4 linked regions of the Caenorhabditis elegans genome follow. The protein of the gene in region 1 interacts with the protein of each later gene in a pairwise test. Each region holds a gene or a part of one and is shown in the gene's direction. Other genes may lie near its edges.

Region 1 (6,505 bases):
TTTTTAGCTTTGGTATAACTTTTTAATTATGGAAAATGATCAGTGTAAACTTTCAAAAATTATAAAAAAGAGTAGCATTAATGTAATGTAATAATTTTAAAAACTAAAAGAAAGTAACAGCATTTGATCAACAATAATTACTTGATTGCTCTCTTGTTTAAAGTTTAAAAAATTTACGATAAAATTAGACATGAACTAATAAATATCAATTGTATAAATTATTATTAATTGAGCACATACAGAATGTACCTGTTTAGCTTTAAGAATGTTTTCTGCAGTTTCTAAAAGATGAGTGACGCAAAAAATAACAATAAAAACACAACTAGAATTTTTACTGCATTTTCAACCAAAAAATTTAGCATTTTGAAAATTCACTATTCACTTTGTCTAGTTGTATAAATATTTTCTTATTTCGCACACACATTTTGCAAACAAAAACAAAAAAGGGTAGTTTTTAAAAACATCTTAAAACGAAACATAACGTAATGCCCTATTGCATGTATTGTTATCGGCAATTTGTATTTCTGATATCACTTGAGAAAATAAAGTCAAGGATACAGTTTCCACATAGTTGATCTCCGTGTGTTGCCACTCCTCTCAATATGGAATATATGGGCGGCCTGTTTTCGCTTATTTTTCCTTCGCTCGGCGTCTATTTTCTTCGTCTTTTCTCCACTCTTTCTTCTCACTCGTCAAAACCACATAATGATCACGTGAACCTTCACTTATTTTTCACCTGCTTCTTTTCCTGTCCTCTACACGTTTGTCTGATGTTTAATCACAGTTGTTTTCCTGCCTCGGCCTCTTTTCAAACTCCTCGGGGTGTTTCCTTTTTTTTTCCTCTCTCTCTTTTTTTCTGTAGTGCTTCCTTTATTTCTCATTTTTCTTTTCTTGCTTTTCATTCACCAGGCCCCTTCTTTTTTTTCTATTTCTCATCCATCCAAAGTGAGGGAGAAAAAGAGAGAAAAAGAGTGAAAGAGTGCTTTTCTGTGCACACATATCACTTGGTCTGTTAGTGTCATGGGACCCCGGGGCATTTCCTCCTGTTTATCGTTTTCTCTGGGTTCAAACGAGAAAGGATCTTTCGGAATTGTCAAGGCTCAAGCATCTCTTCTGAGCCAATGAGTGTTTTTTCTCTTTATCACAAATGTCTTTTACTTTTTACACGCTTTTTACAAGATTTGAATGATTTGTTTCCGAAGAGATAGAGAAAATAAAGATATTAATCATGAAAACTTGTTAATAGAGTACCGTAATTGGTGAGGTTTAGCTTATTTGAGTGCAGAAAAATTTAAATCTTGAAGTTTTCTTGGCGAAAAATTAAAAAAAAAACAGCAGAACTGTGAAATAAATATTTGCAGCTACCAGATACATCTATTTTAGTCATTTGAATTATTGAGAAAAACAGACTACATAAATGAACTACAGTATACAACTTGAATTAAAAAAGGAGTTTTTGACTGAAAAATAACCATTTTCTAGCTTTAATAGACATAGTTTTTGGCTTTGATTTTTTGTTAACGAAAGCAACTAGAAAACATTCAAATTTCAAATGTATTTAGTCATTTTCTGCATATCAAAACTATTTTTTTAAACCTGATGCTCCAAGTGTTTAGTTAAATTTATATGTAATAAATAATTTTGTTTTCCATTAATATCAGTTTTGATAAAACTAAAGTAATACAGTAGTTATCCACCACAATTTGGTGCCCTGATTGTCCTCTTAATATTTTAATTGTACGAAATTTTGCCATCAACCAACCACACTCACTTTTTTTGGTAACTTTTCTTCCCATTTCTCTACTTCTCTTGCATTTTGTTATTTCACAATAGTCCACTCTATCTTCTTTTTCCAATGTCCCTCTCAAATCATTCGCGCCCTGTTTAGCACCCATAGAGTCATTGATCACTTGGCCAACAGCCGGTCTCCCGGTAATGATAACGGGAAAAGTCAATGAACATTGAGTGAGAAAAAGAAAGAAAGAGAGAGAAAAGGACAGAGAGCAGCAAATGTGTATGTCACACACTCTTTTAGTCTCATAGAATACTAATCGATCACAATCACAAGTTACAAAGAAGTGTTGAACATTTTCAAGAGCTGCAAATCTGTGATAAGGTGACGAAGAATTGAGGTGACGTACTCTTTTCCCGTTTTTTTAAATTGTGATAGTGTGAGTGAAAAGATTGCGCGAGTAATGGGTAACCGTTTCGAAGACTGAACTGCATTCATGAGAGCCTCCAATCTGTTGCAGGAGTCAAAGTGAGGCAATTTGCGTCTTGATTTGATATGAATAGAAAAAGAATGAACGACAATATATTGTCTTCTGTTTTGATTAATGATTTATTTCAAGACATTGTATACAGTCTTAAAAACATTTGGCAACGGTTTTAGTAATTGTTATTTTTATTCCCCTTCATTCATTGTAATGAAACATATTAGAGAAATCAGTATGAATCAAATCAGAACGACGTTTGAATTGATAGGAATGAAGAAAAAACGTGACCACTCTTCCCCGAATCATTAAAAGTGAACCTTGTACCCAGTTTGCTGTAGACAAGTAACTTTCATGCTAATTATGGTCTCATGTGAACGTCACATGGTTCCAATCACTTTCTCATTATTTTTTGTAATACGTCTTCATCTCTCATTTTCCCCCTTATCTCACTTTGTTTTACGATGAACTTAACTTACATGAATCAAACTTAAAAAGTGGTTTTAGAATTGGCGAATGAGCCATCAGGCAATTGGAATCTCGAACAACTTTCAGCAGGTACAACGTGAGCAGCTAAATCATCAACGATTATTACAAGCACAGCTCCAGACTAATGGACCTGGAAGTGTTTCTCAGCAGCAGCAGGCTTCGCAGCAACAACAGCAAGTGCAGCACGTCCAGCAGCAACAACAGTCGCAGCAGCAACAGCAACAAGTTGCTTCACAACAAAACCAGCCGCAATTGCAAATGAATGCTCAGATACTGCAAGCTTTGTCAACACCACAAGGACAAAATTTAGTTAACATGCTTTTGATGCAACAGGCACTTAATGCGCAACAGACTGATACTCAGAATCCACAACAAATTATGCAACATCAATTAGCTCAACAGCAGGCACAACAAGCTCAGCAAGCTCAACAAGCGCAACAAGCTCGACAACAGGCAGAACAACAAGCTCAAGCCCAAGCTCGTCATCAAGCTGAGCAGCAGGCTCAGCAACAGGCACAGCAACAGGCGCAGGCACGGCAACAAGAACAACAAGCTCAATTAGCAGCTATTCAACAGCAAGTCACGCCACAGGTTTGTGTTTAGTACAAAATTGATAATTCGAAACTTTGATTTTTATTTTAAGCAATTTGCTCAAATATTGCACATGCAACAGCAGCTTCAACAACAGCAGTTTCAACAACAACAGCTCCAGCAGCAACAACTTCAGCAGCAGCAACTGCAACAGCAACAACTTCAACAACAACAGCTCCAGCAGCAACAGTTACAACAGGTTCTACAGGTGAGTTGACACAGAAATAGCATGTTGATAACTTGAAATTGGCGTTATTTTATTTTTTTTTTCTTCAGATCTCACAAGCCCAACAACAAGCTCAACAAGCTCAGCATGTCCAGTCTAGACAAATGCAGCCGTCCCAACAGAGCCAGGTACAGGCGCAACTCCAGCAGCAACAGCAATTGCAGCAGCAACAAGCTCAGCAGCTTTCACAGCAGCAGGCGCAGCAGCAACAACAATTACAACAGTTACAACTGCAGCAATTTCTTCAACAACAGCAACAGCTTCATCAGCAACGTGCGGCTGCCCAACAAGCTCAGGCTCAGAACAATGCTTCACAACAACGCCCGTCGGTTGCATCGACGCCTGCATTGTCTTCAACTCCACAGTTGAATGATCTTACACAGACAATGCAAGCCCAGCTTCAACAGCAACTGCTTCTCCAACAGCAACAGGCTCAGGCTCAACAAGCTCAACAAGCTCAGCAAGCACAACTAGCTCAACAGGCTCAACAGCAACAGCAAGGGCAGTCTCAAAATAGAACAGTTTCTCAAGCACTGCAATATATTCAGTCTATGCAACTGCAGCAAAGAGCCGATGGAACCCCAAACGGTACGTTTAAATTTTGTATTTTTCTCTGTTTTCATTTTCTCACGTTCACACGCTTCACAACTCTGTGTCTGTTTCCCTTCTCTGTTTTCCCAGTTTCTCCCTTCCCGTTTTCCATCGTTTCCCTTTTTTGCCAGTCCACATACGTTCAACCACACAACCACACCACAACTCTTTGAAAATTATCCGATATACGTATATGACATCAAAAATATCATAGAACATTTTGTTTCCATTTGTTTTTTTTTGAAATATGCATGCAAATAGATAGTGTGTAAACCAACAATAATTAGAAAGTGATAAAGAATGAGATTTTTGTAACCATTACTTCAGCTTTTCTCCTGAATCATCTTCTTCTCTTTTTCTGTGCACCACCTTCTAACCATTGGTTGTTCAAACACGCTTACCCAATATTTTTCCCCTTCAGCAGAGTCACAAGAAGAGAGGTTGGCTCAAATGCTGAACGAACAACAGCAGCGGATGCTGCAAAATCAGGCGCGCGAGGCACAACATCGTCAGTTGCTCATTTCTTCGACGCCTGCTCCTCGAGGTGGTATCACCATGGGAACTCCAATTGGTATTGCAAGGAGAGAAGAGCAGCCGGTACCGTCTACGGTGGCGGTAACGACGGCACCGGCTGCAGTCCGCACGCCTGTTGCTGTGCCACCTATGAAACAAAATTCTAACCCTTCCATGAATCCATCATCCACATCTACGTCTGCATCTGCCACAAGCAGTCATCAGATTTTAGCCCCCTCGCTCTCCAAACCACTTGAGCAGCCTTCCTCGTCGAAGGCCGCATCGTCTGGCAACGAGTCGATGTCGGACCACATCAGCCGAATCATCTCTGAGAACGAAGTCATTCTTCAAGGAGACCCGGTGAGTGCCGAATTCTTCTAGCGTGATGGGTTTTCTTTTTTTGAATAATTCGCCCCCTGGAGTTTGATGAAATGATACGGAAACAATACCAGACCAAAATAAAACAAAACCTTTCATGTTTTTATTCATAATTTCAAATCTCATTTGTCCTTCTGTTTGACGTCTTCGAATCTGTCCATTTACAGGTGATTCGCAAAAAGCGGCCATACCATCGGCAAATAGGTGCGCAATCCTCGGTCGATCACGACAGTAATAGTGGTGGTGAGTTGTGGTGTGGTTGAGTTTCTTGAAAGCATCGCTCCATTACCCTTGTCCTTCTATCCCAAGACAAGATATTGTCTCCTTCTATTACTCGCCCCAACGTTTCCGCTATACCGTCTCGATTTGCATGCCAGTGCGTGTCTGCACGTGTCCATATCTGCATATTATATATTGATGAATATTGTGATTGTCCCGTTTGTCCCTTAATGTTTTATATTTTTCAGGATCAACAAGAACTTCGCCTGGGCCAAAAGACAGTCGTATGTTGCAAGCTGCTAGTCGGAGCCAGAGTTTATTCGAGCTTAGTGGATCAAAACATTTCATGGGCAGCTTGACTAGTGGTCAGCCATTGCTTCGTCCGATTCAGGCACATAATGATCCTAACTACACACCGGAGTGTATATACTGCAAACTCACGTTTCCCAATGAAGCTGGTCTCCAAGCTCACGAAGTTGTTTGCGGAAAGAAAAAAGAGCTAGAAAAAGCACAAATAGCACAAGAAGGAAACCCGCATAGTGCTCTGAAGCGTCGTCACACTCATCAAGATGCAACGTTAGCAATGCATTCTCCACTTGCAGCCCACACACCGTCGAACATGCCTGGTCCTTCAGAGCCTGCAATAAAGTTGAAAAAAGTAAGTAGTCTTATTTAATTAGCATTACATCATCGTTGAATGTTTTAGGATGACTCTACTGAACTAGACGGTACATCAAAACCTGACGCTCTTCAATCCTCCTCATCATTTCCTAGAAGTTTACCAAAGGAGTGGGAACAACATATGTTAACGCTTCAAAATCTTGCCGCCATCATTCCGCCATTTGTAAGTGAAAGACTATACAGGATCCATACCAAAGATAAAACACCAGAAATTAAACTTGTTTCAATTTTTGGAAGCTTTTATTTTTTAATTTTAAAATGAATACTATGTATATTTTTAAAACGTACAAAAAATTGTTTTATTTTCCAGGTTCAAGCATTTCTTGCCAAAGTATTACAAACTAAACTGACAATGGTTTCTTCTGGAACATTGACACATATTTATGAAAACTACAACATATCACCGATTTGTGTTAAACAATTTCTTCACTTCGCATCGCAACTGACCGATCAACAACTCGAAGAAATGACAGTTGAAAGTGAGAAACAGTATTTGGAGAATGCAGAAGAATATCAAGCAAAAGGAATTGTAAAAACATTATTATCTTTCAAGATCAAAAACGAATTTTCTTTTCAGATCCAAGCCCTCCCGTGTGATAATTTG
Region 2 (8,137 bases), on another chromosome or scaffold:
ACTGGTTTTTTCTGAGTTAAGTTAGTTTTAAAAAAATCTTCGGAAAATGAATAAAGAATATTATTGAAATGTTCTAATTATTTAGATGTTTTCGCAACAAAATATAAACACTAATAGAGACACAAATTCAGCCCTGAACATATTCTCGCCCAAGCTTAGCCCAACTCCGACCAAGCTTTGAGTTTTCTAGTGCAAACTATCTCACAAAAGCAGTCCCCGCAAGAATGCCTAATCTCGAGCACACTTAGTTAAAAATTTGTGCTCAAAAAGTTGTAAACTCTTCCTCAGAAAGAGTGAATTCTCGGAAAGTTACTCAGAAACACGAAGAGTCTTCAAAAGTTTGAGATCTCTAAACATGATATCAACCAAGAACTGAATTCTCATTGGTGTTATCGAATACAAAAACCGTTTTTGGTCCATTTCAAAAGTTATGATAAGTGAAAATTGAGTACACATAGAGAAATTTCAAAAAAGTTTTAAAAAGCTTCACTGTGATATTTTAGCATAAAAAAGCGGTACTACTGACATGATTTCATCTTTTACTATTGTATACATAAAAATCTTAACCTCACAAATTCAAATTCAATTCCATTTGAATATATACCCGCCTGTGCAAGTCATCCATAAAAAATTGGCAATTGCTTGAATTCTATAGAATGATGATTGACAAGTGGATTCGGCTTTCGATGAGGAGAAAAAGTGTCAAGTCCTTTTTGGAAGATAATAATTCAATGATCAATTAGACGTCGGCGTTTTTGTCGGGATTAGGAAGATGTGCGCGAAGTTAATTGCGCTCAACACATGTGCTATCGTAAACGGAGCATGCGAGGAAAGACTACAAACATGTCCTATCTTTAGATCAGTGCCAAATAGAACAAGAACTCGGCTGTTTTTGCCACGGAGAATCGGAAACTCGCCTATTTGGATTCATCAAATTTCAAAGTTTGTGTCAGGATTGTGAGCCTGAAGTAGAGCGTAAATCTTCATAATGTAAATATGATTCCAATAAAAAATTCAAAAACCCCGTATCAGTGCTGTGCGGCTCTTGAAAAAAGTCGGCTCGCGCCGAGAGCCGAGTTCAAATTTTTTTCAGCTCTCGGCTTCCGCCGAGAGCCGAGAGCCCCACAGCACTGCCCCGTATACCCTCCGGTAGGCTAGATTTGTAACAGTTACGCAGTATTACTAGCCATTGCGTAAGTTCAAAAGAGGGACCGATGAGCACATGGTACTTGAAAGAGGATGAAAGGTCGGGAGGATGAATATTGTTGCATGAAGAGAAGTGATTTCGGATGCATGTGAAGCCTTGGTGGTAATATTAATGATATCCCTCTAATATTGAATTTTTAAGATGTGCTCTCAAACGTGAGGGTTTAATTGTTGAAAGTAAGGCCATAAAATTAAAACCCTGAATTTTAGAATACTGACTGCTGGTAATTAAATCTTCATTTCTCATTGATTTCAGGTGATTTCAGACAGCATCAAAACATTCATTCAATGTTTCAACAAATCCGTAACCCAACAAACCTTATTACCTAATGACTACCTACCATTCAAATACTTGCGTAATGATTGTCTCTTCCTCCATGTCTACCACCAACCCCTCATTCTCCTCTTCAGAAGAAGAGCCGACGTTCCAATGCACACGAGACACCTATCTCTCATAGAAAACGAATATTCAAATGCCATTGCATACGGTTGCTCTGCGTCTCGTTCTCTTCCCGTGCTCTCTAGTGTTGCGCACTGTTGCACCCTCTGATGGCCGGTGGTGACCTCTTGGAGGGCGGGCGGAAAATGCTGCCACCCTCATCCCGCATACCGCCTGTCATTTCTCGAGACAGCCGACGCGCAATCACTCTTATGCTCCGATGGGTATATGGGGCAACAGGGTGGTCCCAGTAGACCCAATTTCTTACAACTTCGTTTTTTTTTAGTTTTTGATTCTACTAATAAAAAATCATATGTAACTTTGAACTACAAAAATCGCGCAAAACTCTTAAGATGTTTCCAGTTACAATACTCTGATAAAACTTAAATTATTCACAAAAAAATATAGATTTCAAATATGACTACTGTAGAGGTCATTTCATTTCCTCCCCATCTAACGTATGCATCTTGAATTTTCTTCAGTGATCATTTTTGATTAAGAAATGTATTCTAGAGCTAAAAACTTGAATTATATTATATACTCTTTTGTAATAACAATTAGCCTACTTCAACTTTTCATTTTAAGATATGACAAGCAAAATTCCAATTATTTTGATTAAACACAACTTTTCAAACTTGTTAAGTAACTTGAGGATCCACATTGACTTTATCAGTACTCACCGCTTATCTAACAACCTCTACCAATTCAGGTTCCACCCTAATCCTAGATTGTCTCTTTCCTCCATTTCCTTTTACTCTTTTTTATGATTGTGCAAACATTTGACCTCTTTCTTTTCTACCTTCCAATATATTCTTCTGTTCAATTTAATTTACCATGGGCATATCTTTGTTTTTTTTTTGAAACGGAATTGGATGGTGTAACCTGAAACATGGCTGGTCTATAGTTGAATTTTCAAGCTTATAGTTTATGAAACTCTAAAAATGTTTTAATCAAAAGTTCAATATTGACGTACCCTATTACATCAATTAAAGGATTTTTTTGGGAATTTTCCATCTAGCCTTTGTCTTCTAGGGTTAAAACTATTCACTTAGCTTATCCATCGGAAGTTTAAACTGAAAATCAAACATTTACCTCTTCAACTCTCTTATAGTTAATAAATCTGTGTCTTTTTTAGCCCCAAATTATCACAGCAGACGCAATGGACTTTCATAGAGCACTATCGGCGCTTTTCACAAATCAAGCAGCCGTTCAACCACTGCTCGGCTCACTTGGTTTCCCATTCAACGACGGAACTTCTATTCTGACGACTGCACTTGCTGCACAGTCCGGCGGAAAGAAGTTGGACACTCCGTTGGGGATTTTACCATTTGACTCACTGCCCACGACAAATCTTTTAACACCAACCAAGAAGATCAAACTAGAAGATGAATTGTGTGCCAGTCCAGTGTCAAGCAGGTCGAGTACGGTTAGCAGTTCACACGTGAGTTGGGAAAAATTATTAGCACTTATAAAACTATTGGAATTATTTTCAGTTTTCAAGTCCCCAACGGTCACCATCACGAAAGATGTCGGTTCCGATTCCAGAAGAAAAAAAGGTTTGTTTCAATTTTTTAAGTTTCAAGTGTATACAATTCCAAAAAATCTGAAAACCAATAGAGACTTACCATGAGGTTAAAAATATTCATAAATCGTATTTGCGTGGTCTTAAGTTCAAATCACTACAGTTACGTAACACGACTCCTGTTAGTTACGCAACGACGACCGCGAGGTGTCTGTTGGAGATGGTTTATGGGTGTCAGAATTTTTGATAGTGTGAAAGTCAACTAGTATTAACGCCCCCACCCAAACTATTATAATTATAAGTTGCCTTATTTACCGTATTCCTGGAGTTTCCTCTTAGTGCGGAGCATTGTCAACGCCATTTTGTCTCTAAGCTATGCTAATGAATAATTACTCCTAACAATCCCAATTCAAAAATCCGCTGGTTGTTCCTGGGATAATGCGGTACAGACTGCCTCCAATTAAGAGCTCTTCGAGATTCGGCTCATTGTTTAGCACCACCCAACTGTTGCCATAAGAAAAAGAAGGGGTAATTACATACAGTCTACCTGACAGAGAAACCTTCATGTGTGTGGAGGAATTTGAATATGAATATACGAGAGGGGCATGACCGGACAGGAAGGGGTGTTGCGCAACTATACCCCCGTAGAGGACTTGGGCTACCATTTATATTATTCAAATGAGGCGGGAATTCAAAAAATTAAGATCAGCATCACTTCTTGTTCAGCTAGCATCAAATACTAAGTAAGCTATATTTACTGCGTCGTACAAGTACCCACATTCTCATTTTGTAAAAAAATTGTAATTTTTCGTAGCGCCAGTGCGAAATGGCCAAATATCATAGTGGCACGTTGCCGGCCAATATTCTATTTGCTTTCGGTTTTATGGCCATTTGCCTGAGTTTTTCAAACACATATTACTTAAATACTATAATAGTTAACAAATAATTTTCAACTAACAAAATGTTACCGGTTACTTTTTCTACATGTGTAATTTAAAAAAATAATTTCCACAGAATTTTCAACTTTTTGCAATTTGTTGTTTTGTCACAAAGTGCCCAGGGAAATTTATACAGATGACTAAACATGCATTACAAAAGTCAGAACTGACCAAATTTTCTGTAAATGCGAGCAAAATTTTTGTTTAGGTTCTGAGTTTAAAAACATTTCAAACATGTTGCAAACATTCGTGATGTAAGTTTTCGTTACAAAAACTATTATATAAAGCTATTTAATAGGATTTTTAAAACATGCTCAAAATCTAGAAATTTGAGAATCATGTTCAATCCTCTGTATTATTTTTCCTGGTCGATTGATGACAGAACTGCAAATGGCAGAGTGTAGAAAAATTGGTGCAAATTATTTTCTTATTAAACTTTGTTTCATGAGCACAAAGTTGTGGGTCACTTAGCAATTCTAGTCAAAATATAGTCCCGGCTGATTTCAGCTGATGTAGCTTTTTTCGTAATAAAGTTATGTAAACCAACATCAAGAGTGTAGACAAAATGAACGGCAACATTTTGTTAATTAAAAATATTTTGCTAGATGTTATCGTATTCGAGTTATACTTGTTTGAACAACTCAAGCAAATCACCTTAAAAGCGAAAACGAATAGAATATTGGTCGGCACTGTATATGTTGTCGTTTTATGAAACTTTAATGTCCTTCTGTAACAAAAGACTCAAACTTTTTTGGCCTAACGCATATTACATCTAAGTTTTCTTTTACGGGCGGTGCCCCTCCGAGCATAAAACATACGGAAAAATATATAGAGGGGTCGTACATTTTACACAACAAAACCCACTCATTCTGGTGAACGGCATACGGTGGTTAGAAGAGAGGCTTACACAAAACACAACTGTCACACCGATTTTTTGAATAAACTTACGTGAATATGAGATACTTTTCCTTTGATATTTAATATGGGATTTGCGATAATGTGTAGCTCTTGTTTTATAAAACGGAATAACTTTGGCATATTCCTTAATAAAGTATATGAAAACTCAAAAAGTCGCATAAGAAATAACTAGTAGTGTATGTGTGCTTCATATCTTTTCGGGGATATGAAATATTAAAAACGTACAACTAATGAAATGTATAAAATTATTTAATTATTGTATTTTTGCTTAAAAAAGTTCTTCTAAATAATTTATCTTGAAGCTACATGGAAAAATGGGGAAAAATGGTATCATCAAAATTTCGGCCTAGCGTACTTCAACTGACCCTAACTCAAAAACAACAAAAGATACAGAACAGTCATCAACTAACACATTGTAGTGCTTGAAATGCTTGTTAATTTTGTAGTTGATCATTTTTTCATATCTTTTACGTTTCAGGAGTTAGCGTCGTTCAAAGTTTAAAAAGTCATGTTTGCAAGCATTTTCGGCACTTTCAACTGATATTGTTGTATCGATACGCTATGTATGAGGATGTTATTACACTAATGTGCTAAACTAATAGTCTATTACCTGAGGGTGTATAAGTTTTCGATTTCCCAAAGAAATGACAAAAATCGGAAAAATTAAATGTTTTGATCGGCAGAGAACGGAGTTGGAAATAATCTTAACGGTGCCCATCATGGCTGATATTGATAGGCTTGTCATTCTAACTGTCTTCTATATATCCACAAAAAATATCCTAGAAAAAATCAAAACTGAAAAAAAAACGACAAAACTTATTTATCACCCTAATAGAATTATGATTCTTTGCTAGGCTAACTGTGCTTAGAGATTTATTAATTCCTAGTTGATAGGCTTTTCGCAAATTGTGTATTACTTTTGTAGACTAATAAATTCCTAGTTTCTGAAAACTTAACAAATCACAATTAATCTCAGCAATTACAGGACTCTGCATACTTCGAGCGTCGGCGCAAAAACAACGATGCAGCGAAACGTTCGAGAGACGCACGTCGTCAAAAAGAAGAACAAATCGCATCAAAAGCTCATGCTTTAGAACGGGAAAACATGCAACTACGTGGAAAGGTCTCAAGCTTAGAGCAAGAGGCCGCGCAGCTCAGATTTCTCCTCTTCTCCAAAATCTCACCAGCAAATTCTGAAGTGTCCTGCGAGTCAAACGATTCAACGGAAACTAATGATTCTAATGATTCTAAAAGCGATTCAACCATTGAAGTATGAAATTGTTTGTATTTCATATACCGGACGCTTAAAAAAAGATTAGTGTTGTTTACGCACTTTTGTTGTAAATTTACAGTCGTTACTTCAAAGCTTCTATTTATTTGAATGTTTCTCTAGGTTCTTGAAATTGCTTTATTTTTCTTTCCTTAGCTTTAAATCGGTTCTCTATACCACCCATTCATCTTGATCTATCTCTTAAGCTTTCATTCTCCCTACCTCAATCCCCTATCAGGTTATTCATCTGCGGGTGCGTGTATATTTCCTGATAGTTTTTCAACTTATCATTGATGATTTTTCTACAAATTCTTATTTTGACAATAAATATTGTGTATGCATTTTATGTACTTTTTTGACATTTTTTTTCTAAATGGTTCAGAAATATATGTATTTGATATATTATAGTACACAATATAATAAGATCTGTAACCAACTTTGTAATATTTTGCACTTTATAATAGTTCTAAAAGAATTAAACCTGAATTTTTTAACTCGGAATATATGAATGAGTTTTAAACAATTCCAAATATTTACATTCTTGACTTTTTGTAGCCATTAATTTATTATAAACTGTAGAAGTGACACTTGTCACTATCTAAAATTCGGTGTGCTAGGCAACACTCCTAAGTTATTATTTGTTGCTCCTCGAATTTCAAAAAACTTCTCAAAATTTATGGCGGTTCAAAATTTCGAAAAAGTACACTGATTATAGCTAGCATCTCAAACTTTGCTTACTTTTCTGTGTCGCATCTGTCCGATGTTGAATTTTTTGGAATTATCGTCTTTTATTGCATTTTTTGGTATTTTATTTTTATTTTTTTATTGTTTTATTTCGTTAATTAAACCGATAGGTAATCAAACATCCTCTATATTGTTTACATCTTTAAATGTACATTTTGGGTCGAACCGTTCAAAATCTTCCAAACTGTTAGTTCTCCAAAAGTTCTAAGAAAGTTTCAAGTTATATTCACATCGATTTCGCAATTTTCGCCAAAGTTCATATTTTATTACGCCTTCAAGTGCTAGTAAAACTTTTGTTTTTAACTTTTTGAACAACTCTGACAATGAGTAACATCAAAGTTTTCTGAATAAATTAAAGTTATTATCTGACATCAACACACTTATAAACTGAAATCATGATTATTTCGAACGTTCCGCAAAGTGGCCTTTGCTGCGTCATCACATCTAAATTCTAAGCCAATTCATCCGTGAAAGTCTTCTTTTTCGTTGTTTTCCCATAAAGATTAAGTGATTCGAACACAACAAACACTTAGCCTCCCACTTTTTTATATTTCTTTTTTTTTCGCTTTCCACCTTTTTCTCTAACTTTCTCTCTTTCTTTCTTTAGTTTTCCAAAGTTCTAATTGCCGCCCGTTAAGTGGATCTACTATTTTTATTCTTACAATTTTTTGAATCAAGGTATATTGAGAAATTATGAGTCAGACGGAACATTGGTGGTTTAAAGTTTTTTTCAAATTACAGCTAAAAACGCTATGAGAAACATGCTCTAGGTTTTCTTATTGTTAGTATTTCAAAATATTAGTTGTCTTCAAGAAAAATCATCAAAAAGCTTTCCACAACTTGTTTTTTCTATTCCATATATAGTAGTTGTTTTTGGAACTTATCATCGAAAATATCGACGCTATTAACTACAAATATTTAGTTTGGCTAGCACTATGTAAGTGCAGCAATTCTTTAAAGTTGCCGTGTGGAGTTCTTGTGCAAAGTATAAAAGCAACACAAACGTTTTAAAAAGTTATTAAATAAAATAAGTATTAAAAAAAGGACCAAATTTTCTTTAAATAGTTTTTTTTTATACACGGCAATTTTCAGAACATGCA
Region 3 (6,436 bases), on another chromosome or scaffold:
AATAAGTTTCATGTTAGTTCAAAACGAAATTTTAAAAAAATTTATAATTTTCAGATTGATCATGGATTCTCTCGATTTCAGCACATCGGAAGTTCGGATATGGTGGCATCGTCTATCAGAACTGGTCAGTGTAAAAAACTTCCCAAATTGTCTTTAAAAAGCGAATTCGTCACAATCAAAAAAGTTTCCGTTTTTTTTTGTTGATTCTCAGTATTTTTCAGATAAAACTGAAAATAAAACATCGCAAAATCGAGAAAAATGAAAGAAATGTCCGAAAAAAAGTCGAGAAAACTATTGTTTTATCCAAAATATGTTGATTTCGATGAGAAAAATAAGAAACTTCTTTTAAAAAATAAAAAAAATCGGAAATTATGAACAATTCTTTATTTTTTAAAAGAAAAATTTAGGTTTTTTTAACAACGAAAATTGAAAAATCGATAAATCAATATATTCTTTTTCGGATTTTTTTCGAATTTCGGAAAATCGATTAAAAAACGAAACAAAAACGAGAAAATTAGATTCACTAAAAAAAGAAGAAATTTCGTTTAAAAAATTTAAAAAATGACCGAAAAACGGAAATTGAGAGATGAAACTAACAATTTTCCTATTTCTCATCAGAAAATTATCACATTAATTTAATTGCAGCTGTTATTTAAATTAAATAAAACATTTTAACCGTTTTTTCAGGTATACCTCGAGCGCCTAGACTCGATACGGTAGAATATTCCAACTATGAACATGAACCTGAAACAGATGAGATTTCTCGAGATGGAACACCATTTTGGTCAACACCAATTCCACCAACTAACAAAGAATTGCCGGTTTCCCCTGTATCACAATTGGACATGACGAATTCAATCAAGAGCAGGTAGAATTAATAAATTAGAATTTTCATTTCATAATTTTTTTTCAATTTCAGAGTGGAACGTGTTGATGTAGAAGTTAAACTGGAACCTTGCAATGACGAAGATGATGAATTTAGTGAAGAAGTTGATGAACAAACTGCTGAATTGGAAGAACAACTAGCAACTGAAGCTATACGGACTGGTTTGGCACTTTTTGGAAAAGTTTCCCCATCTCCAAAACGAATGAAATCATGTGGAAGTTCTGGAAGTGTTTGTGGAGATGTAGTCACAGCGATTTGTGAGATTTGTGGAATTGGAATTCGCCTGAATTCTGGTGGTTCTAAATGGAATTTCTTTGAACACGTAATGATGAAACACTCCACTCATAAACCATTCAAATGTTCCCAATGTCCATATCAAGCTGTACGAAAAGTTCGTGTAAAGCAGCACGGACAATCACAACACAATTCGGAACACGAACCTGTGAATATGATGTGAGTTTTTATTTTGAATTTAAAAAATTTTAAAAAAATTATTTTTTAAAGATTTTAAAAATTGTGCGACAGCTCTTTTTTAGTTGAATCACTAATTCACTGAGATTATTTTTTTTTATCTAATCTCACTCGAAAAGCATGAAAGCCGGTTTCTGTTTTAATTGTATAATTATTTTAAAATGTACGCAATTTGTTTTATAAATTACGAAAATTGCTACTAATGTTGCAGCTGCACCGCAAGATTTTTTTTTTCCATTCTATTTAAAATGGTAATTTTATCCAAATGTGAGGATAAGCCAAAAATTTATTTTTGGCATAAACCCGCAAAAATAGATTTGAAATTTTGAATAAAATGTAAATTTTAGAAATTTTTTTTTCTAGATCATATTTTAGACTAAAAATGTTTCAAAAGAGCATATTTAATTTTTTTTTTAAATTCAATTCTGTCGCAAGATCGCTCCATTAAAAAAAATTAAAAATGTTTGAATAAAATCCAATTCAGACGATGTCCATTTGAAAACTGAATTTAATTCGTTTCATTCCAAAATAAAAAAATCTTACAAAGTCAATTTTTTTCAGAACACCAGAAGTACGAAAAGAATGGCTGGATACAATGGCAAAGTGTTTCCCGAATCATCAATATGGAAAAGAAGCAAAAATTTAATAGTTTCTTTAAATTTTTTTCGTTGATATTTATAATATTTTCTTTTAATTTTAAGTTTTACAACGCAAATTTTGTTCTTACTCGATTTTCAATAAAATCGTCGGTCTTTTTATTATTTGTGGTAATTTCTTTTTTCTTATTTAAATAGTTATTTCTATTTCTGAATATCTTTATCGTGCTCTTGTAATTCCTAATAATATAAATAATATACATAGGTGTCGTCTTCGTACGATTCGAACCCGGCCGGGATGCCGAAATTTGTGGTCATCGAACTGAACGATGATGCAGCAACGATCGATCTTCTCAGTTATTGCGTGAGTTTTTTTATTTATAAAAATTATCTAAAATATTGATTTACTCATTTTCTCTGGTTTGAAACTTTGCATAGAACTTCCAATTGTACCTCTGATTCCTTTTTCGGTCCATATTAACCATTGGTATCCCCTAATTATTCGAATCGACTTCCTAAACAAGGGTGCCGCTGAAAAAATTGTCGGTTTTTTTTGTTGAGAAAATCCAAAAAAATTCACTTTTGAAAAAAAAACGAAAAATTCCGTTTTTTTTTTAAAGAAAAAATCGAAAAAAAATTTGAAAACACTTTTCTTATACGGAATTCAAAATTTAAGTTGATTAAAGTTTTTTTTCAAACAAGTAACCGAGATTTTATTATTTTTTTTGGACTTTACAATTTTTTAAGTGTAATTGAAAATCAATAAAAACTTTTTTTCTGAAAATCGAAAACAAATTTTTTCCGTTTTTTCGCTCTTCCAAAATCCGAAAAAAAGTGCGGTCTGATGCTAACCAAGGATTTCTTTTAAAAAATGTCAATTTTTCTGTTTGAGAAATAATCGAAAATCTAACTTTTTTTTGAGCAATTTTTGTTAAATTTTGATAAATTTCGAAAAATAAATTTTTTAGTTTTTTTGTCTAAAAATGCCAATTTTTTTGAGAGATAATCGAAAAACGAACTTTTTTGGTTTTCCGAAAAAAAAATCAAAATTTAATTTTGTTGAATATAAAACACAAAAGAAAATATAATTTCCTTCTAAAAAAAGCCCAGGCGCTGAAATTTCGAGCAATTTTTGAGAAATTTCGAAAAATCAAAAAACCAAAATTTGTTGAATTTCCAACAAAAAAAACCGAAAAAGCGACACCCTTGATCCTAAAATGTAGGGATTCAACATAACCTATAACTTCTATTCTCTTAGAAATCAGATTTTTGAAGTATAGACTAGCTTGAACATCACTGCAAACATTTTTTTTATATTTCTCCTAAAACCTCTACTCTATCAATGATCTCTCAATTCCAAGCTCTTTCTTTCGCACGATGCTCATTTCGAATTCGACATATATAGCTCCTTTTTTCGGTGCTTCTCCTGTACATAAGAGATCGATGAAATCAATCGTCGTGGCGCTCTCATAAATGTGCAGAAAGGAAGCAAGAGCTGCAGCCAACTGCTGCATCGGCGTCCGTATTTTTTGTTCGCTCTGTTCCCTTTTCCATTTATGCGAGCAACACGGTGATGCTACTTTCATCGACGAGAGATAGTATATGTTGAACGGAGGATTTGAATGTTTCTGTTCACGGAGCAACCGTCCGTTTTCTTTCTCTCAGTATCATCCTCTACCCTTTTTCGAAATATTTCTATATTTGATACTGGAAATTGGTTAATTTTCGCATTTGACAGGTTTGCTCATTTATCGAGATTTTTTAAATCTAAATTCTAAAATCATTAGCGACAATAACTAAAAATATAAATTAATCAATAATTTTCCTGAAACATTAAAATTCCATTTAGTTCTGGTATTTCTGTCCGAACTAATCTTGTAATTGAATAATCTATATTTCATCACAATGTCTTTCTTTTTCTTCTATTCTACGAATACATTTTTGCCTGTACGAGCTCATAATAGAACGCGTTGGCGCCTGCCTCACTTTCAGCATCGTCCGAAGTGTACATACCTCCTGTTCTCCATCATCGTCTTCTCCCATCCCTTTCTCTTTCTCCCATACCGGGTATTGAGCGCCTGTATGCACAATGCACACAACTGACAAAACTGTACTCGTCGCGTCGTTGTCGCCGTTGTCGTGTGCCCCGGCGAGCGCAACCAACAACAAAACTGTGTGAGCGCTGTTAACACCATTTCTTCTATCACCTTCTAAGCATCCCGGTTTGAAAGCGGGTGGTAAGGTGTCCGATATTATAAAACCGCAGCACAATGCTTAGAATGTGTGTGTGTGTGTGTGTGTGTGTGTGTGTGTGTGTGTGTGTGTGGTGTATGCAAATATTGCCGGTGGAGCCGAAGCCATAAAAATCGAGCACATCGTCAGTCTGACGGTATCATTGTGCATCTTTTTTGATACGACTTTTCACTTTTCCGTCACTACACTTAACCTTAAGTCTGCAGACTTCTCTTTTTTCTATAGTATAGACTCTTTATCCCCTTATTACAATAATCGTCTTTACGAGTCCTCATTGCTTCCACTCATTGACTATCCGTACTTATAAAATGAAACTCCTTCTTATTTCTTAATTCTTTGTTCACTTCTACAAGACGCTCTTGACTCCAATTCATTCTCACGCGATTTCGCCCAGTGAGTGTCCGAAATAAGGTCAAATTGTGCATTATGTGAAGTGAGAGTGAAAGGGTCTTCTAAAGTTTTGACCTGGGATACGTCATTCTGAGATTTTATGGTAGGAAGTATTGCTCAAAATCTAGAAGAATTTTTGAATGGTTTTCAAAAAATTATCGACTAATTAAGCAGTTAAAGTACTCGAGTAGAATTTTTTTCGTTGTTTTGAGTTTTTTTTGAAAAGTTAAAAAATGTGCTATCGTTTTCTTTTTAACTCAAAGTAACGTATTACTAAATGTTCCGAAGATCCTGTTAGAGTATCCGTGTCGTCTTTTCTCTCTGAGTTTATGGTATTATGGGAACATTCGCGCACAGTGCGCATTAGTCGTCTCCGTGATCTTTCTCACTCCTCCGTAGCGCATATTATTCCAATCCATGACTTTCTCCTTCTTCATGTCCAAGGAGCGAATGCATATCTCCGTAAAGTCACCCGTCGAGGCCGCAAAGACGTACACCCGCACTTTCGGCTCGCGATGACCTAAATTCTGTGAACGGTTGGACGACGGAAGAAGTTGATGAAATGGTGCGACCTCCTCTCCGCTCTATAAATCGACCCCGATTGGAGCCAATTCAGATGAAATCGTTTTGTGCGCACACACGCTTGTCTAAATCGGATTCGTTCTACCAACGTGATTCACTCGTCGTTCAACCATTATTGCACACAATAGAATCGACAAATCGACATAGGCGCTGTAGGCGACGACGACGACGAAAACGAAGTGATGAGCGCATGCGAGACGAGGGCACCACTCAAACTGGTTTTCGAATCGCTGAGTTACAACCACAGAGGCGGTCGGGCATCACATAGCGAGGCCATCACACATTTTCATTGTGTCAGAGCCACCAATGTCAGAGGAATCGTTAAACACCGTGCATCAAACAAAAAATCAGTGGAAAGGAACGATTGGAGAGTACTGAAGAGAAGAATGGGTTGCTGTAGGAGTGAGCATACGATCAAAAATTCAAAATGTGTAGAATAGGTGTTTTGGAACTTTTTTAAATTCCAAGTGAGCTGTTTGAAGATTTAGCATTGTTTTGGAAGACATTTTTTCAAAATTATCAAATACTAAGGCAAAACAATTTCTTAAAAATTGTCTGAAAATGTGAAATTGTATCTAAAAGTTGTCATTGGCAAAATTTAAAAAATCGTTTTTTTTTGCTGTAAGGTTTAATTTGGAAAAGCTTTCAGATAATTTCAATGAAACTGGTACTCTAGTATTTATGGTAAAAATTGTAGCGATTTTTAGAAAAAAAACCTTGATCAAAGCTGTATTTTTGGCATTTTCCAAGTTAAGTAGCAAGTTGACCACTACCTTCTTTTAACAACATCTAATCACTTCTCTATGACTCACAATGAACACACTTCGTCAAACAGACGCTAGTCTACATGACCCATCTTATACTTTCACTTTTCATGTGCACAAGAATTTGGATTAGCTTTTTGAGTTGTGAGACATATGTATCTAGATCTTGAGAATCACCTGTTTTATTCTAGGAAGTTACAGTGTGCTTCTGCTTCTAATATGTGGCGAGTATCACTAATCCATGCATTAGGTGCAAGGTCATATATCTTTTTGAAAAATTCCTACTTTTTTGTAAAAGCGCAACAAATATGCAAGGTCACCTGGCACAAGCTTCGAATGTTTACGACTAGCTCTTGAGAGGACATGTGGTTTAGATTTTTTCTGATAACAATTTCAAAATAGATCATGCTCTGTCTATAGTCCCTGGATCAGATTTTATTGAATTTGAGTGCGACATTGTAATCCGGTTGTTCATGTTTCCCATGTTGGAAATG
Region 4 (9,477 bases), 6.0 Mb from region 1:
GACTCACTCTTCACATTTCATACACACTATCTCTTTCCTAATCCAAGGTTCTTGATGAGAGGACGTATGTCGGTACCTAAAGTGTCAATTTTTCAATTCCTGTTTTTTTGGTTATCATCCTAAAAAATTTCACGTCGTTTTCCAAGGTTATTGAAACATTATTGTACTTTTTGTGAATTTGGTGCTCTCATAACTCATTAAAGATCAAAACAAATTGAAAACATGAAAATTAAAATCAATTTCGGAACTAAAATCTTCGTGACACTGTAGATGTTTGACTTGATCATACGTTCAGACGAAACAACAAAACATACAGGAAGAAGACACATATGCAAGCATTCACACCTTCTCCTAACATCCTTGTCTTCTAATTTTGTAACATTTCCGAACGGACAAAAAACCACAGAGATAATGTTAGAATGATATATAATCCTTGGAAAACCACGAGATCGTCAAAATCACTTGTTCTCCCTCCAATTTTTTATCTACATTTGACGTTTTCCCAAATGTTCATCCAATTGTAATTCCACATGCCTTATCTATTGGAAGGTCATTACTATGTTCCAGACGCTCTTCTCACTGCCACAAAAAACCGGGTTTTTTTCTCCATCGTAAGGAGGAGACATAGTGCGGAGAGGGAGGAAGTCTCCCTGCTGCAGCTAGTATGGTCTGAAAAGATCCCGTCGTCTTCACTTTAACCTTGCCGACCTTCTAGGCCACCCGCAACGGCATCCCCTCTCCCCCAGTGCCTTCTCTCCAATTTTTTCATTCTCTTTCTTCCGAACGAAACGGTGTGAGTGTGTGTGTGTGTGTGGGGGTGGGCGCTGCGTTTTTCTGATGAGGTGCGCGCAGCTCGATTTTTTCTTTACATCTTGCGCCCCCGGGCGACAGATAGAGATGATGCCCGTTGCTGCCTGCCGCCACTGCCGCTGCTGCTGCCATCGACAGTTTCTTCTTCTACATCGTTTTTCTTCTTTTTTCTTCATCGTATTCCCAAAAAAGCTTGTTTGGCACCCCGCGACACACGCACTATCTCACCCCCTTTCTCTCTTCTTGTAAATGCCATTCAGAAACCGTCACCTCCTCCCCCCCTCGATCCCCGCCATCTCATTTTTTCATTGCCATCCGCGTAAAGTCGTTTTTCCGCCCTGCCACCCCCAGGTGTAATCCGCCCCATATCAGTTTGCCAGCTTTTGCACTTTTAGTTCTACCGTATCCAATGCCTGCGGTGCCCCACCCCCAGAGATTCCTTCACTCCATATTTGCTCCCCACCATTCCTCACACCCCAAATTTCTCTTCCTATCCTAGAACCTAAAACATAGAACCTAGATTTATGTATCGCAATCTTACCGTTCTCCTCCGCAAACGTAACGTCATACTAGATGCGAGTTTGCTCTCCAGTCACTTCACCCATCTCAATTACCTGTTAGCACCATCTGTCCATCTAGACCACCTTCCTGCTAGTCTCGAACTTGTAGTGGTGGTTACGCGCAATTGACAGTAATCCAGTATAGACACACAGCCATGCAATCATCAACATAATTGTGCTATAATCCACCTGGCATTACTTTGCCTTCCTTGAGATCCTGTTCTTTTTTCTCAGGTTCCTGAATCTTATTTTTGTGCTGGTTTCAGATTTTGATCATTGAAAATTTTCATTTTATAACATTTTTACCCTATCCACCCAATCCATCAAATCTCTTTTTCGTGTTTATGATGCAAATTTTGTGTAATAGTATATATGTTTTGATGTTTCGTATCTTACACACCATGTCTGGATGCGATAATTAATCCATATTAGTTCCTCCTGTTTTTTTTAATGTTCATCAACTTTTTTTTCTTATTGCTCCTCGTAAAGGTCCGTAAGATACCTACTGCCCAGCGAATACACACTTTACCACTTCTCTTACAAATATAGTAAGCACACAGTAGCTCGTCGCTATGAGTGCAAGTCAAATCCGGAGAAGCAGCTTATGGAGTACACGGGGAGGCATCGGGTTGAGATGTTTGGCCAAACCCGGAAACCGTATCTCGGTCCTTCTTCGCCTCCGCCGCCGCGAGACGACAAACAACTAGGCGAGGTCACCTAGCTGCTCTCAAAACCGTGGACCAGGCTCTCGCTAAATCAAACACACTCATAACAAGTCCAACTCGCAGTGGTTGCTAAAGAAGCTGGCTATCCATAAATTACTGCCTACTCCCCAAATTCGTATCCAGGCGCGTAACCAGTAATTTGGCGAGCCGTTGTAAATGCTTGTCAATGTGATCATACCTATGGATCCGGCTCCTCCTTTTCCCCCTCCTCCGCTTTTTTCGCTCCGATAATACATATTTTTCCAGTCACTCTTAGTATTTCCATTTTCCAATTTTCCCATATATTCCTATATCCGCCTGTTACCATTTCCTATACATTTCCTTTCTTATCTTCTGCCATCCGTAAACACACCTGATTATTGTGTGCAAGTCTCGTCGTGCCATATTCCTCGCTTTTTTCCCCTATTTTTCCTCGTTGTTCTTCTTTTTGTCGCCCATTTTCGTCTCATTACCAGATATTCCCTGTCAGGGTTTTTCATTTTGCTATGGTTATCATTTCAGTGATCTCAACAATGGATGAACTGAACGCTTGCACAGAATGCGGATTCACGACTACTGTATTTTCCGAGTTTCAAGGACATATAGGTAACCAACCTGTTCGGTGATACATGAATGCCAATTCGTTTGAAACATCCACCTACCCGCGCTTTGTCCATCTTTTTTTCATCTTAGAACGGAGACAAACCCGTAAAAATTCGGATTTGTAGCGGTTTAGTGAGCGCTTCAACCCATTAACTAACCCGCTTCTATTGCGTTTCACATTTAGCAACATTACCCCCTAATACTTTTTTTTTGCAGAGAAGCACGAAAACGAGCACAGCAGGTCTTCAAGCGGAGAAATGTCTAACTCGCAGGTATGTTATGGGAGAGTAAAATTCATCCAGAAGAGTGAGAGCGTGTGAGTGAGAGATATAGAAAAAAGGTTGCGTCATAATGCCATATTTGCCTAATTAGTGCCAGAGGTAGAGAAGATATGTGAGGGAACAACAGAACGTGGAAAAAATGAAGAGGGGAGGGATGTTGGATGTGACGTTGTAACACGTCTTCCAGACATGCCCCCTGAGACTCGTTAGAAACATTGAGACCAAGGCTTTTCAGACAATCGAGTGGGGAGATGGTATTCAGTCGTCCACGCCGTCGCCACGGTCCACGCCCCCTTCAGATCCAACGCCGAGTCCGGACTCGGATGAACATCTTGAACATCACATTTCGATAACAGAAATCACAAACACTCTCATCAAAAGTAAGTTTTCTTTGAATTGCATTTTCTTACACACTGGAATGTATTTCTATTGATGGTTAATTACCAAGTACCAATATGCAATTGTGAAACCTAAAAATTTCAGAAGAACCAGGCACCAAAGGACAAAAGACGGTTCACGTTTGCCCGCACTGTAATTTCACCACTTGTATGTCGCAACACATGAAAAGCCACTTGGTAGGTTCAAGGATTTTTACCCGTTTTCTTGAAAGCATTCTCTTGTTCTATAGGTGACGGAAGAGTGAAAGATACTTTCAGTACATTATTACGCATGTTCCCAAGGGTACAAATTAATTTTAGCATGTAAATCTGTTGATGGATATGAAAGTCTTTTCAATTTCCCTCTTTTCCACTTTTCATCAATTCCTTGTAAGGTGGGTCCTGTAAGTCAACACTCCGTGAACCTTTTCTCTTCTCCCACTCGCTCCATGCCGCTTTTCTCACAAACTACTGTTTACTTTCTATCTACTGTCCAGTTAACTGCGTCTCTCACTTGACCCTACTGTTTTTTGTTCCGACGGCCAATCCCATCACTTCCCGAACGGTCATCGGGATGAGTAGTAGTGGAGTGGTATGGGAGAAGGAGGCAGGCTCCTCATATATTGGCTTTTCTTCTTAAGGATGTTGCCTTTCATGTGAGCCGGTGTCATACTAATTGGTTAAGGCAGAATCTTCCGAGAAACCAAACCAAAAAAAACATAGATTTTCCCTTTTTCGGTTATGTAGTGACATCAAGCGGTAGAGATTGGGATGGGTGGAAGAAGATGGGAGGAAAAAGAGGCGTTTTTGGAAAAAGAAACGGGAAGACCAGATACGGGGGCAGTACAAAAAACGTGATGACCTTAGAAATCACATGACATACCAGTGAAGATTCTTGAACATTTCAGGAAGCGCATGAACGCCATCAAGGCCAAATGTACCAATGCGACATCTGTAAAATGCAGTTCAGCCAGAAGGTGAGCAATTTTTAAAACATTTTCTGAATCGGAATCTGGTTTTCAAACACTCGACAACTTTTGAATCATTTGGATTTTCCAAGTATGGTTATCGTGCTGATTGATCTTCTTCTTTGATTCCCTTTTCACTTTCTTCCTGTGGTTTATCAATGTTGCGTTTTCAGGCTAACATGCATCGTCATCGGATGCGCCACAGCGGTGTGAAGCCATACGAGTGTCGTTTTTGCAAAAAACGATTTTTCAGGAAAGATCAGGTATGCTTGTCTGGCATATTTTTTATTACCCTCCACCTCCTAGCCCCACCATTTAACGGCTGTTGCGTAAGAAGCCGCTGCCGCCTTCCGTAACTCAAAAATCGTGTTTTATCTTCAATTTACGTAATCAAATGGAAAGTGAAACTGATCTCCCGTAAGGAAAGGGAAATTGAGGGAAGAAGGAGGCGGCGGATTGCCGCCTGAAGGTCGTTTTCAATTTGGATATTTTCACTTTCCCGGAAATAAGAAGAGTCTCTTCCATGGATGGCAGGGAACTGCCGCAGTGCCCATCAACCATTTCTTCAAGCGCTCTGATGATATCTGTTTGCCCAAAACCGTTCTTGAAGGTCGACGAGCCTGAAGAAAACAGGAAAATCGGGGGGAACCAATTTGACGGTATTGGTGTCAGGTTATGCCGTCGAATATGAAAACGGTTGGCGCGTCTTTCTTCTCCGATTCTTCATACTATCCGACGACGTTGGTGAAGATGAGAAGTAAAAGACCTTGACGATAGCACGCGCATTTTCTTCGGAAGATCCTACCTCCCATCCTACCTTCTAGCATCTTCTCGATGTCTCCATATTTTTGCCGCTCTTTACTGTGTACCTTACCCCCAGGGCCAATCAGTAAAAAAAAGAAGAAATACCAACCGTCGGCGGTTTTTTTTTTGTTCTAGCTGCGTCTCTGATTGGTTCCCGAAAAGTTGAAAGCCATCACCCTCGCTCGCATCAAAAGGGGTTTTTATAATGAAAGACAAAGGTTGCGGGGCGAGGAGAAAACCAGAGAAAATTGTAAATTGTAATATTGTGTGAAAGTGAAAACCGATTTTTAGATGTTAAAAACATACCGTAGTCATGTTTTAAACATGTAACTTAAAATAAACCTATAACTTTCAGATGCAAGAGCATTCAATGACACATATCAAAACGGGTTTTGGTTTCGACTGTCCAGTATCACAATGTAACATGCAGTTTAGTCAGCACAATGCACTCCGAGCACACTTGGAAGAAACGCACACAATTTCGTCAACAAATCCCGCGTCATGTAAGCGATGTAATTTGATGTTCGCCAATTCGCGACGTCTTCTCCTTCATTTCCAGACAAGACATGACGATTCTGAGGTAAGAGATGTAACTTCAGATTACACGGAAACGTAACACATGATTAGCGAGCAGAACCTGAGCCTTATTAGGTGATGTTTTTCTCGTTCTCGGAGCTTAATTCGGTTGCCCCAAGAGACGCACTTTCCGTGGAATCTCTCTCATCATGTGATATCCTGAACGTGAACTCTTATTTCTCATTCTGATTTTCAGTCTTCTCCGAAAAAAGAAAACACGCCAAAAAGGAAGAAGCTGTCGAATGGAAATGCTTTGCCAATGGATCCTGCGAACATGAGCATAACAGAACAGTTGCAAAGAATGGTGAAATCAGAGTTTAGCCCTCCAAACACCGACACCTCCGATAACTCCACAAGTTCTGAATTCGACAAAATTGTAAGAATCTTTCTTTCGTTTCTTTTTGAATAAAAAGCATTTCCATGATTCCATGGTTTTATTTTCAGCCACCAAGCTTCCCTATGGCTAACCCAGATATTTTGTTGATGTGTCTAAACCAAATGAACCAGTTCAATGGATTCGGAGAAAACATCCCAAGACCAATGCTCAACATTCCAAATATTCCATTGCCGGTATCAATGAAACCTTCACACTTTCGCTAATTAACCTTTGCATTTCAGGCTCTTCACAACATTCCAGCAGTGGCAGCGATTGTGAAGCAGGATCAGGTGCAACTCTGGTCAGAGCAGACGTCAAGCTCTGTGAGTGTCAGTGCTCCAAGTCCGAGTGAACAGTCGCACTCGCCGCCAGCCAATGAGTCATCACTTTCGTTAACTGAAAAAGAGAAATCACCGACTCCCGAAAAAGAAGACGAGGAGAATGTGGTATGTGTTATCGCTAATAACAACTTGTTATTGAAAATGTCACCATTTTGTTTACCTTTTTTCGAAGTGCAATTAGAATTGTGAGCATCGTCAACAGAGTTTTTTTTTCCAAAAATTGGGACTTTTGATCCATTTCTTTGTTGATGCCAAAATTTGGTTTTATCAACCTTAAAAACATAGACTGATTAAATGATTGCCAATTTGTTGCAACTTTCGGAACGTTCTCATTTGAGAAAAAATCTAAAAAAAGAGATAGAAAAACCGAACATTACACCATGTATAGTTTGATGAGGAGGTTTTCAATTTCTCGTAGATGTCACAAGTTTTCTTTGAAATCTGAAGGATGATGGATTCTCTACATCACCCACCTTATCAGAACTATCAACTTTCTCTTCCGAAATTTGAATTTAAAGGAAAACTATAGGTTTTAGGTATTTTGAACATTTTGCAATGAGACTTCTCAAAAAATTTCAAAAAAAAAGAGTTAATTTTAGCTAAAAGCCCGGCCTTTGCCTTTTCCGGTTCGCAGCAGCTGATACCATTCAAAAAAAAGTTCGGACTGCTGCAGTTTTTAGCTAGAATTTGGCAGGTTTTTTCAAAAATTCAAATTTCGATTAAAAAAAACTTTTTAAAAAGTTTCTGTTAGAAACTTCATTGCAAAGCTCGTTAATTCGTGCGCTTTCTGTATATATACTCAAAACACTCATAACCGTTACTCATTTAATGGCATCTAACTCTAGAATTATTTTAGGAATGCTGTCATTGCGGAATGATGTTCTACGACAACACAATGTACCTGCTCCATAAAAGTCTTCACTCGGACGGTGATCCTTTCAAATGCGCATTGTGCGGAACTCAGTGCGGCGAGAAGTACATGTTCACTACTCATGTCATTTTTGCCGATCATAGTACTCAAGCAACGACTTCCGCCTGAATTCACCATCATCCAAGAAATATCCCCCCGATTGCCTTTCAGTTTTAGTAGTCAGTCTAGCGAATCCAAAACACCCCCATTCTTTCATCCACATTTTAATTTTTGTTTTTTTTTTCGGTTTTCTTCGGTTTTTTTCGATGCATATTCACAGTCAATTCTGATTACCTCTTTATTTGTCACTTTCTTTCTTCATAACAGGGAAACAACGAATGATTCTGCTTCTTCTCATTGATTCTCAACAGCTCTTTGTCTCTATCAAAAGTATTTGCCCCGTGTTTTTGTCTATTTCTCATCAATATTAAACCATCAAATATCATTATTTACATTTTTAAAAACTTTCTTCATCTTCTCCTGATTCTGCTCTCTATCTTGTTTCAATTCATTTGCACACGTGTCAAAAGTCATTTTGGACCCGTTAATTTTTTCCGTAACCTTGCATTGTTAGGTTTTTGTTGTTAGTGTTTTATTTTCCTTTCTCACCACCACCCCTCATCAAAATTTGTACAATTTCAATGATTTCTTCGAATGTATTTTAAACTAGTGAACTTCAACTGATATTCAGAATTTTTGAAGGCCTCCTTATCTGTTCCACCCATCCCAAACATTTCTTTCCGATTAGAATAGTAATTTTATCAAGCTTTCTCTCTGTCCCACTGTCCCATCAATTTTCTTCCCATTTCAAAATAAATTTTGTTGAAAACATACTGGAGAATAGAATACTAGAAAAAAGTCATGGTGGCTAGGAAAACGGCTAAATGGATTGGCAGGCAGTCTGTGATTGACATTGGCCCAGCGTATATGGTTATGAGTCGTGTGCTGCTCACTACGGACAATCCGGTTCAGTTGGGCAGTGTCCCACGGGGACTTGCCAAGAACCCAATGCATCAACATTGTGCTCTGCAGGACCAACAATAGTGGCTCTCTTTCTCATATTTTTGTCAAGATTAGCGACTACTAGATCAGTTTTATTTATAGCCATTTGTAAGGACATTTGAACTATTTATGGGTTGTTGTTTTATTTCAAACTGCATCTATATTTGTTAGCAGATTGATAAAAAGTAGAACTATCACAACACAAATTGCAGGTGCCTTTCGTCAGTTATCTGACAGAACATGATTGAGAAACACGGTTGGCGAAGTTTCCAGTTTTTGCCATATTTTTTTTACAATTTCGCATTAAACCTAAAAATTCATGTTTATTCACATAATTTGATGAATGAAAAATTAGCTTGCTGGATTCTGAAATTTTGCAATTTTTTCCTCACAATTTTATGCACAAAAAATTTTCAAAAAATTTTGTTGAATATATTTTTTGAACTATAAACAAATGTTACATTTTTACATTTTATGAATTTTAAAAATTCAGAAAACAATAAAAACAAAAATTCCGGTGCTTTTTAAAATATCGTTTTATGAATATTCAGTTTGATAATTTCCAGGAATTACTATTTTTTTTAATTAAATTTTTTAATCTCAAAGACGGAAGTGTAAAAAATTGTTTTAAAATTTTCCAAAGTTTGCTTTTTTTTTTCAATTTTTTCAATTTTTTCCAAAAAAAAACAATAGGAAAACAATCTTCGACAAATAAAAAAACAATCTTCGACGGAAATTCCCAGAAAGAACAGAAACTTGAAAATAGAACAATTTGAAAATCATAAAACTTTTTTTTTTTGATTATACATTACTTCACTTTTAAGTTTTAACGTTACATTCCTTTTTCAAAGTTTGAGCTTCAATTGACAAACTGCACTTGCTGAATCTCATTTTCCCGCAATGTTTCAACGCCGTTGTTCAGTTTTCCATACATTTCAATTAATGTCCTTTGTGCTGACATCCCGCTGTGACACAGTAACTAATCGCGTTGAAATATGTGACTTGAACAGTTTGCAATAATTTTAATTTTTTTTCGCTACGTTTTTCTAGTTGCTTTCCACATTCTCTTAACAGTTTGCTAGAGAAAAAAAATCAGTTTGCGGGAGAAGAACTGCTTCCGAAGAACAACTTTCTGATAAATGCGTTTTTGTTAGACAACCAACAA

Evidence for each region.
Region 2: the proteins of sma-9 (region 1) and ces-2 interact in a two-hybrid assay, tested with the Caenorhabditis elegans proteins (one large-scale study listed by BioGRID).
Region 3: the proteins of sma-9 (region 1) and lir-1 interact in a two-hybrid assay, tested with the Caenorhabditis elegans proteins (one large-scale study listed by BioGRID).
Region 4: the proteins of sma-9 (region 1) and ztf-16 interact in a two-hybrid assay, tested with the Caenorhabditis elegans proteins (one large-scale study listed by BioGRID).

What each region holds. Positions count from the first base shown.
Region 1 is NC_003284.9:10,770,362-10,776,866, forward strand, and holds the start of sma-9 (Transcription factor sma-9), read left to right. Parts: upstream 1-2,729; coding exon 2,730-3,293; intron 3,294-3,345; coding exon 3,346-3,501; intron 3,502-3,569; coding exon 3,570-4,107; intron 4,108-4,531; coding exon 4,532-4,983; intron 4,984-5,168; coding exon 5,169-5,244; intron 5,245-5,468; coding exon 5,469-5,878; intron 5,879-5,926; coding exon 5,927-6,064; coding exon of another isoform or gene 6,065-6,163; intron 6,164-6,211; coding exon 6,212-6,430; intron 6,431-6,478; coding exon 6,479-6,505. UniProt on the Caenorhabditis elegans protein: Transcription factor, probably acting as a transcriptional activator and repressor, involved in the TGF-beta-like dbl-1 signaling pathway.
Region 2 is NC_003279.8:14,958,723-14,966,859, forward strand, and holds ces-2 (Transcription factor ces-2), read left to right. Parts: upstream 1-2,774; 5' UTR 2,775-2,804; coding exon 2,805-3,086; intron 3,087-3,138; coding exon 3,139-3,201; intron 3,202-6,008; coding exon 6,009-6,299; 3' UTR 6,300-6,639; downstream 6,640-8,137. UniProt on the Caenorhabditis elegans protein: Transcription factor. Required to activate programmed cell death in the sister cells of the serotoninergic neurosecretory motor (NSM) neurons. Negatively regulates the activity of ces-1 which in turn negatively regulates the activities of cell-killing genes.
Region 3 is NC_003280.10:7,669,792-7,676,227, forward strand, and holds the start of lir-1 (LIn-26 Related), read left to right. Parts: upstream 1-2,213; 5' UTR 2,214-2,251; coding exon 2,252-2,317; intron 2,318-5,072; exon of another isoform or gene 5,073-5,208; intron 5,209-6,436. Other genes in the region: lir-2 (C2H2-type domain-containing protein), read left to right, coding at 55-124, 688-868, 920-1,339, 1,919-2,003.
Region 4 is NC_003284.9:4,804,656-4,814,132, reverse strand, and holds ztf-16 (Zinc finger protein ztf-16), read left to right. Parts: upstream 1-2,592; 5' UTR 2,593-2,607; coding exon 2,608-2,680; intron 2,681-2,893; coding exon 2,894-2,949; intron 2,950-3,193; coding exon 3,194-3,338; intron 3,339-3,441; coding exon 3,442-3,533; intron 3,534-3,887; exon of another isoform or gene 3,888-4,025; intron 4,026-4,243; coding exon 4,244-4,312; intron 4,313-4,476; coding exon 4,477-4,566; intron 4,567-4,628; exon of another isoform or gene 4,629-4,769; intron 4,770-5,462; coding exon 5,463-5,687; intron 5,688-5,879; coding exon 5,880-6,059; intron 6,060-6,127; coding exon 6,128-6,253; intron 6,254-6,301; coding exon 6,302-6,505; coding exon of another isoform or gene 6,506-6,589; intron 6,590-7,256; coding exon 7,257-7,439; 3' UTR 7,440-8,135; downstream 8,136-9,477. UniProt on the Caenorhabditis elegans protein: Positively regulates the expression of ver-1 in the amphid sheath glia of amphid sensory neurons. Together with ehn-3, plays a role in somatic gonad development and is required for proper gonadal primordium assembly and somatic gonad precursor cell morphology.